Linked DNA regions of Danio rerio. The protein of the gene in region 1 interacts with the protein of each later gene in a biochemical or structural test. Links are inferred from orthologs where the notes say so. Each region holds a gene or a part of one and is shown in the gene's direction. Other genes may lie near its edges. The genes, in order: pax3a and sox10.

Evidence for each region.
Region 2: the proteins of pax3a (region 1) and sox10 form a complex in vitro, tested with the Homo sapiens proteins (2 studies listed by BioGRID and IntAct). The link is inferred for Danio rerio from reciprocal best matches to the Homo sapiens genes PAX3 and SOX10.

What each region holds. Positions count from the first base shown.
Region 1 is NC_133177.1:50,677,618-50,681,550, reverse strand, and holds the start of pax3a (paired box protein Pax-3a), read left to right. Parts: upstream 1-898; 5' UTR 899-1,174; coding exon 1,175-1,259; intron 1,260-1,964; coding exon 1,965-2,200; intron 2,201-2,917; coding exon 2,918-3,047; intron 3,048-3,257; coding exon 3,258-3,401; intron 3,402-3,933. UniProt on the Homo sapiens protein: Transcription factor that may regulate cell proliferation, migration and apoptosis. Involved in neural development and myogenesis. Transcriptional activator of MITF, acting synergistically with SOX10.
Region 2 is NC_133178.1:1,253,348-1,257,280, forward strand, and holds the start of sox10 (transcription factor SOX-10), read left to right. Parts: upstream 1-1,126; 5' UTR 1,127-1,258; intron 1,259-3,363; 5' UTR 3,364-3,605; coding exon 3,606-3,933. UniProt on the Homo sapiens protein: Transcription factor that plays a central role in developing and mature glia.

The sequences.
Region 1 (3,933 bases):
GGAGCACGTGAGACGGAAAGAGAGAGAGTGAGAGAGAGAGAGAGAGAGAGAGAGAGAGAGAGAGAGAGAGAGAGAGAGAGAGAGAGAGAAATGTAGAGTAATGCAAGCGAATGAGTGGGATGGATGACTATATTGAATGTCTCTGCGTTATAAATAACGTTCTTCGCAATTGTGTTGGTCTCCACAGACAGCTTTTACGGCACTCTCGGCGTCATACCCTGCTGAGACCCCCGCAAGCTGCTCCTTTCATTCTGTAGAGACTCTACTGTCCACATGCATACAATAAATACCTCTGTGTTGTGCAGCTTTTGGGTTTTTACTTGAAATTCGGGGTTTGCATGGGATTCATGTTCGATGCAATAGATAGGCCCGTGGTTGTGGCAGAAGAAAGCAAAACGGTGGAACTTTCCAAACTTTGCGTCCAGCACTTTTTCAATGTTTCGGTTATATGGCACTCCTATCTCAGGTCATGGTGTCTCTTTTTTTATGAGTTGAAATATGTGCATATGATAAGCAAGACAGCCACATTTGCAACTTTTGGAGGGGCTTCCAGGAACAACGTTAAGATCCATTGTTTTATTAAGATCCATTGTACCAAACTACCATTGTTCTATTAAAATAAATATTTTAGAAGGTATTGAAGAAAACATCTGTATTATCTCAACACATCTTCCAATTTGCCCTGCGGCATCACAGTTTATGTCTGAAAGTGTTATCAGTGAAACATCCCCTTGAACTCCCGAGGTCACAACATAAGAAACTTTCAGGATTTAGACCAATCAGCAGGCTTTCCCAGGTCTTTGGATCCTCCCTCTTTGACCAATCACAGTCCTCGCTGGGCAGAAGGAGCCAACAACTCAACAACTGATAAAATGTTTCGCCACTGATCACCGTTTCAATCCACAACAACAAGTGTGTCAACAACAACGGAACCAAGCTTTGAGAGTGTTATCTTCCAAACCGCTTTGAGATAAACCACGATTGAAAACCTGGATATCCGTGAATAACTTCAGAGGACTGGAAGCGACGGTTTGACTTCTGAAGTTGACTTTTTGTTTTCGCCTGAAGACCTCAATACTTAGGCAGTCCACTGACACTTGACGACTAGCGCTTTCTCTTTGGATAACTTTTTCTATCAAGTGCTTCGTGCATCCTTTTTTCGTGCAGAGGAGATATGACCGCATTAGCGGGGGGCATTTCCAGGATGATGCGCCCCACGCCACCCCAAAACTACCCGAGAGGTGGCTATTCCTTGGAGGGTAAGGTGTTAGCTTGCTATAGCACAGCCTACTAGATACATCCGCAAAGTTGTTTTTTAAAGACCTATTTAATCTTATGGATATTTTATTGAAATGACATTACTGAAAATGACATTAATAAAATATTTAATTGTTTATAATTTATTTAGCATTTGTATATAATTAGTAAGTATATTTTAGTCAGTAGGCTAACACTGAAAAACTACATTTAGCTAATTATTTTGAAGCGTCAAAATTACTGAATTAGTTTTTTTTATTACATTGAAAGAAAATCAAGCTGAATCCAGAGAAAACTGCATAATGCAGTCGAAGTGAACTAGTTTTAGTTTAGATTTAGGAAGTCAATATTAGACGTACATTTTGTACAAAGCATTTATTATAAAATATCTTATTTTTAAAAACATTGTCAGTATTGACGTACTTAAGAAATATATTTTAAAATTAAAATATGTAGTAAGAAGTAATGACTTAGATTGCTATTATCATTATTAACCATTGACATTTTACAAGCAGACCAGCTTTTTATTATGGTTAAGTAATATTTCTGAAATACATAACTAATTGTTAATATCAATAGAAGTCGCTTTATTACTGTATAATATTTATATCAGGTCAGTCAAAGGCTGTCAAGTTTTTTTTACGATTATGCTTTCACGTTTAGCTTGCATACAATGTCATTCGCTGACTTTTCCTCTTTTGCTGCAGTCTCTACGCCTTTAGGTCAGGGCCGCGTGAACCAGCTCGGCGGAGTCTTCATAAACGGGCGCCCTTTGCCCAATCACATCCGCCACAAGATAGTAGAGATGGCCCATCACGGCATACGACCGTGCGTCATCTCCCGGCAGCTGCGAGTCTCACACGGATGCGTGTCCAAAATTTTATGCAGGTACCAGGAGACCGGTTCCATTCGGCCCGGGGCTATTGGTGGCAGCAAACCCAAGGTAGGACATCACAATTTAAAGGTCATTTGATGTATTGGTAGTACTGTTTTTTATTACTGACTTCATTATAATGTTTTGGCAGTCTCGTGTACACTTTAAAACATTGTGTTGTTTTAACTGAAATTGGGTAAAATATGGAGTAACCCAAATATTGGGTTAAATTCGGTACTATTAATTATATATAAAAAAAACATGCAATTTGGTTAGTCCCTATTACACCTTTTACAAAATGAAGAGTTTAGTTTTTAGTTCACGGCTAAGTTTCTTTGCTGTCTTTGATTTTGTTCCCATTGTTTAATAAACGTATCTAATGGTTCACACATTAAAAATAATAGTTTTACTGATATACTGTATATGTAAATTAATTATGTGAATTGCTTTTATTAGATTTAAATTCTAATATTAATTTGATTGTTGTATTATTTAAAGCACGCCTAATAACAGAATTTTAATAAAAGTTCCTCCTTGGCTTTCATTTTTGAAGCTAAAATTTTAGGAGCAATACATTTTTTATTTTATTTTACTGAACCTCATGACAACAAACAGAGAAATAAACATCATATTCTGATATAGTAAACAACAGTTTTTATTTAATAAAAACCTTTGTATCATAAGTGAATTGACCATTTTATATAGTGCTGTTAGATATTTTCTAGTTGTTACAAAGATCAGGATCTCAAAATTAAATAAACCATTGTGTTACCATTGCAATAAAAGCAGAGCACAACTCCTGACGTGGAAAAGAAAATCGAAGAATACAAGAGAGAAAATCCAGGGATGTTCAGCTGGGAGATTCGGGATAAACTTCTGAAAGATGGAATCTGCGATCGGAATAACGTTCCTTCAGGTACTCGACTTTATCTGTCAATCTGTGCCGCCGTTTGATTTATGTTTATATAAATATTACTACCCACACCTGTTGTATATGTGGCTAATATAAGGTCACGAGCAATAGTATTTAATATACATTGTATCAATGCATGTATATTTGTAGGTGTTAAAACATTCCACAAGTGCAATTCTGTCAATTGATGAATCCTGTCGTGTCTCTCCGCAGTGAGTTCCATCAGCCGCATGCTGCGCTGTAAATTTGGAGGAAACGGAGATGAAGATGAGGATGACGATGAAGTGGAGAAAAGAGAGATCGAAGAAAACGAAAGAAGAGCCAAGCACAGCATCGACGGAATTCTTGGGGACAGATGTAAGTTTTCAGAAGTTTACACTTTTTTTGTTTGCGAAGTTGAAATAAGCTGATTTTTTTACTGGTATATCTACATGAGTTCTTGATGGATAGAAAACATATAGGTATAGCCTATCTCACTTCTTCCAAACGTGCGTATTATTGTTGCGTTTGTTGTTGTTGTTATTTCTATATCATTTATATGCTAATAGTTGTTATTAATAGACAATATTATGTTTATGTAATATAATGTACTTATAAAAACTAACTTACATCAACGTCGCAAGCACATTTAAGCTTTCTTTTTAGAGAGTGAATATCGATTTTGGATGTGATAAGTTTGTCACCAAAAGCTCAGTAGATTGATGGGAAAAATAGGGTTCACGTCTTCTCCGTATTTTAAGCGTTTTTGTGCCTTTTTCTTAAACTCATTGAAACTGAATTGAGGAGCATCAGAGATTAACCTCCTAAAACGAGACGTTCCTGGAGTGAAACTGGCCGAATCAGTAAATCAAACATTTGTCCAAGAATAGCGTTCACTAAAAGACGCTCC
Region 2 (3,933 bases), on another chromosome or scaffold:
AACCCCTGATTCACCCTGAGGCACAGCCAGGCCAACAACGGGCCAGTGTGATCGGAAAAGAGTTGAAAGAATCTCCGTGACACCAATGAGGAGCCAAAGACCACCTGTGAAATACATCACATGTCAGACAAAAGCATATTAAGCTGATCAAATATTGCGTGCATAACCGCATTACATCACAAAGAAAAACATTAGCTAGCTATGGGTAACTTAATAAGTGTTCTACATTTGCACTGCAGCCATGGTTGTGAGCCGAAAAGGTTTGCGCAATAATATTCACCCCCCGAGATTTACATTTTTTTTTTGCGGTTCTCTGATGTCGATTAATGGCCACGTGGCCTTCAGGTAAACACATTTAATATTTAACTTATGTGTTTTAATTAGTGTGTTCCGAATTATTCGGTTATTTTTATTTAACATTTTTATTAATTAGCTTAATTCTGATCCACTCCCAACTCTTATTAACGAATCACAAATCAAATGGATAGTTTTAATTGCACAATTAGCCTGTCAAAACTTAACTTAAAGCTGTTAATGCACTGCTTTTAAGTTTGAAAAATAAAGAAAAATTATTAGAAAACTTAAGATTAGATTTTAACATATGTTGAAATTATCAAATCGGCATGTTTATGATAAAACAACTTTACCTAAAACTAAAATTCAGATCAACAAAAACCTAAATGAAGTTACATATATATATATATGTGTGTGTGTGTGTGTATATATATATATATATATATATATATATATATATATATATATATATATATATATATATATATATATATAAATGTAAGGCAAAGGAGGATTATTTAAATAGAATGTCATACACAATGGAAAATCAAAGTGTTTTACATAAACAACAATAAAAGAAACATAAATAACAAGCGTAAAAGCAAATTCAAACTGAATAATAAAAAAATAATAAAGTTGAAGACACAAATGTATATTTAAAAAAGTTTAAGATCTGAATTAAAAGTAAGATGCCCCTGTGAGAGGCCAAATATTACTGTCGTTGATTTGCAGCCGAAATCACCGCCCTCTGGGGCAAAACTCAGCAGCCAATCAGAGCGGGACCCGACAGGGCTCTGTTGCTCCTTTAAGAGATTTTTTTCCATGAATTGATTTTTTTCTCGCTCTTCACACAACGGGGCTCTTTAAGCCTCGACGCGCGACACAGAGCAGGCATTCAGAGCGCGAGCGAGGGGGCTGAACCGACGGACTCTCGTGCTGGGCGGGCGACCTGCTGCACTGTAAAGTAAGTGCATTACTGGCTTTCTCTCTATCGCTTACTCTGTGTGGGAATATATACGCCATTGCACTGTCTAACGGAGAAACTTTTACATTTCTTATTAGTAATAATACTACTAATAATAAGCGGTGCATTTATAAACGACATCTACTTATTTTGGATTTTTCGGTTTATGTATTGATGGGTTTGGTCGTGGATAATTGTAATGGAGAAGGTTTTTAATTGAAATGGATTAAAGGACGTCTTTAAAAGTGCAACTTATCTAATCTTTTGGCGAAAGGAACACTTAAAGTTGGTGTCACGGGGCATAAATTTCGAGATTTGCGTGAATGTGTAAATCAGAGACGTGTTGGGTTAATCTGTCTTAATTGGAAAGAACGGCTTAATCTATCTGTGCACGGACCACTTGGGATGTACATACACTTTTAGATCTTTTAGTAAATGTTTACAGTCCGATAAATTATACATTTGAACACTTTAATTCGAAGTGAATCAGTTTTTAAATAGTTTTATAAGAAATAATTTTTTTAAATTTAATCTTCTGAGAAGTTTTACTTGCGTAAGGCTATTTGTATATATCGCCGTCTCTTGCCAAATTGCTCATGTAACCAACGCAAAGATTAACAAAGAGACCAAACTTTAAAGTACACAATTTATAATATTGTTTATCTACACATCCTTTCACAACAAATATAACAGGATCAGAAAACTTAAGTAAAGTAAAACTAACTGAAATGCACATTTGTGTAAGTTTGAATCAAATGTTTGATACAATAATAATCTCCGCAGATTAGTTTGAAAGGTTTCATTCGAATGAGTTTGTGTCATTTATGAGTTTTGTGTTTTGGCATGAGTGAATTAGGGGCAAATTATTGCCAAACCAGGCGTTATGATCCGCCCTACAGCAGCCAAAGATGAACCCAATCAAATCTGAACAAATAAAGTTTACAGCGGAGGAAACTCAAATAAGCAAGAGTTGCGAGCAAAGTTAAAATGAATGAGCATAAAGTTTATAAAAGTCCTCCTGACAGAAAACAGCCGCTGAAATCTTTTCCTTAAAACAAAATAAACCCAGCAGCGCAATTACCGAAATTGACGGATACATTTGTTAGCTACTAAAACAAACCAAGTCTTGTGCGATGCTTTCTTTTTCGTCCCAAATAAATTGGACAAGTCAAACCATTAACGCTTTCTGTAGGCTATACATGTGATTAACAAATGATCAATGTGTTAATGTGTTTTGTAAGGGGTCTACAAGTAGCCATTCTTGGCTAACTCTAGCACATTTTACAGTAATGTTTATTAATGTGCATTGACCCTGTAAACAAATAAACTAAACATGGTTCTGCTCATGTGAAGTCACCTGTATCTTAATTAACACTGCTGTTGGATGCTGTGTTTTTGTATTCGGGTTAATATTGGATGTCTGTAACTCAAGTTCAAGCTGACAGGTCGCATCTCAACAGCTTCTGTCGCATATAAATTATTTGATCGATTTTTCTGTAATTGGACCTAGTCAACCACATCCACTCGTTTAATTCACGATTACTTCACATTTCAGAAACACACTGCCATGACTCTCTTGATTTTTTTCTTCTTCTGCTGGTTATAAGTCGTCGTTTGTGCTTTCACCAACAAACACTGTGTAATTCAGCTGCCCACGGCAGCGCCGCTCCGTGTTTATCCAGCAGCGAGGCGGAATGAAGCCGGTATTATTCCAGCACTTTCTCTCCCGGGAGCTTGAACAAACCGCCAAACCTTCAACAGTAGCTTGTTAGCAGAAGTGAAGCTAAAATAACACACACACATATACACACACCGAGGCCCACTGACGCCACCGTATGATTGCAGCGCTGCCCTGGAAAAAGGCGACTTCTAAATAAAGTCAAAGCCTCAGTGTTTGTAGGTTTTTCCTGAACAGGTTTATCTTGTTCATGAGGTGTTCGGGTGAACAGCAAAGGGGTTGTGCGGTCATACAGCCAACCATTAAAACGACATATTAATGCTATTTTATACATTAGGAAGACATGCTTTGCAGAAGCAAGCTGTTTAATAAAATAATAACAATGATTATTATAACTAATAAATTACCTGTGTGTGTATTTTTGTAGGTTTCCATCAGATCTATATCCAGAGGAAGACGGCGGAAGGATTCCTTCTTACAAACTCGAATTATATAAAAAGAACTGTTAAGGTTTCACTGGATGATCTTAAATAATAAACAAAAGCACAATTATTTTACAAGAAAAAAACATTTGTAAAGTATAAATTAATACATTTATATTTAAAATAAAATTTAAGTGAGGAAATTAAACCTACCGAAGTCACCTGTGGCCGCAGAACTAGTGGACCGATGTCGGCGGAGGAGCACAGCATGTCGGAGGTGGAAATGAGTCCCGGGGTGTCGGACGATGGGCACTCCATGTCCCCTGGTCACTCGTCGGGCGCTCCCGGTGGCGCGGACTCCCCTCTGCCCGGTCAGCAGTCTCAGATGTCCGGGATCGGGGATGATGGAGCCGGTGTCTCCGGCGGGGTCTCAGTGAAGTCCGACGAGGAAGATGACCGGTTCCCCATCGGCATCCGCGAGGCGGTCAGTCAGGTGCTGAACGGGTACGACTGGACGCTCGTGCCCATGCCCGTGCGCGTGAACTCGGGCAGCAAGAGCAAACCGCACGTCAAGC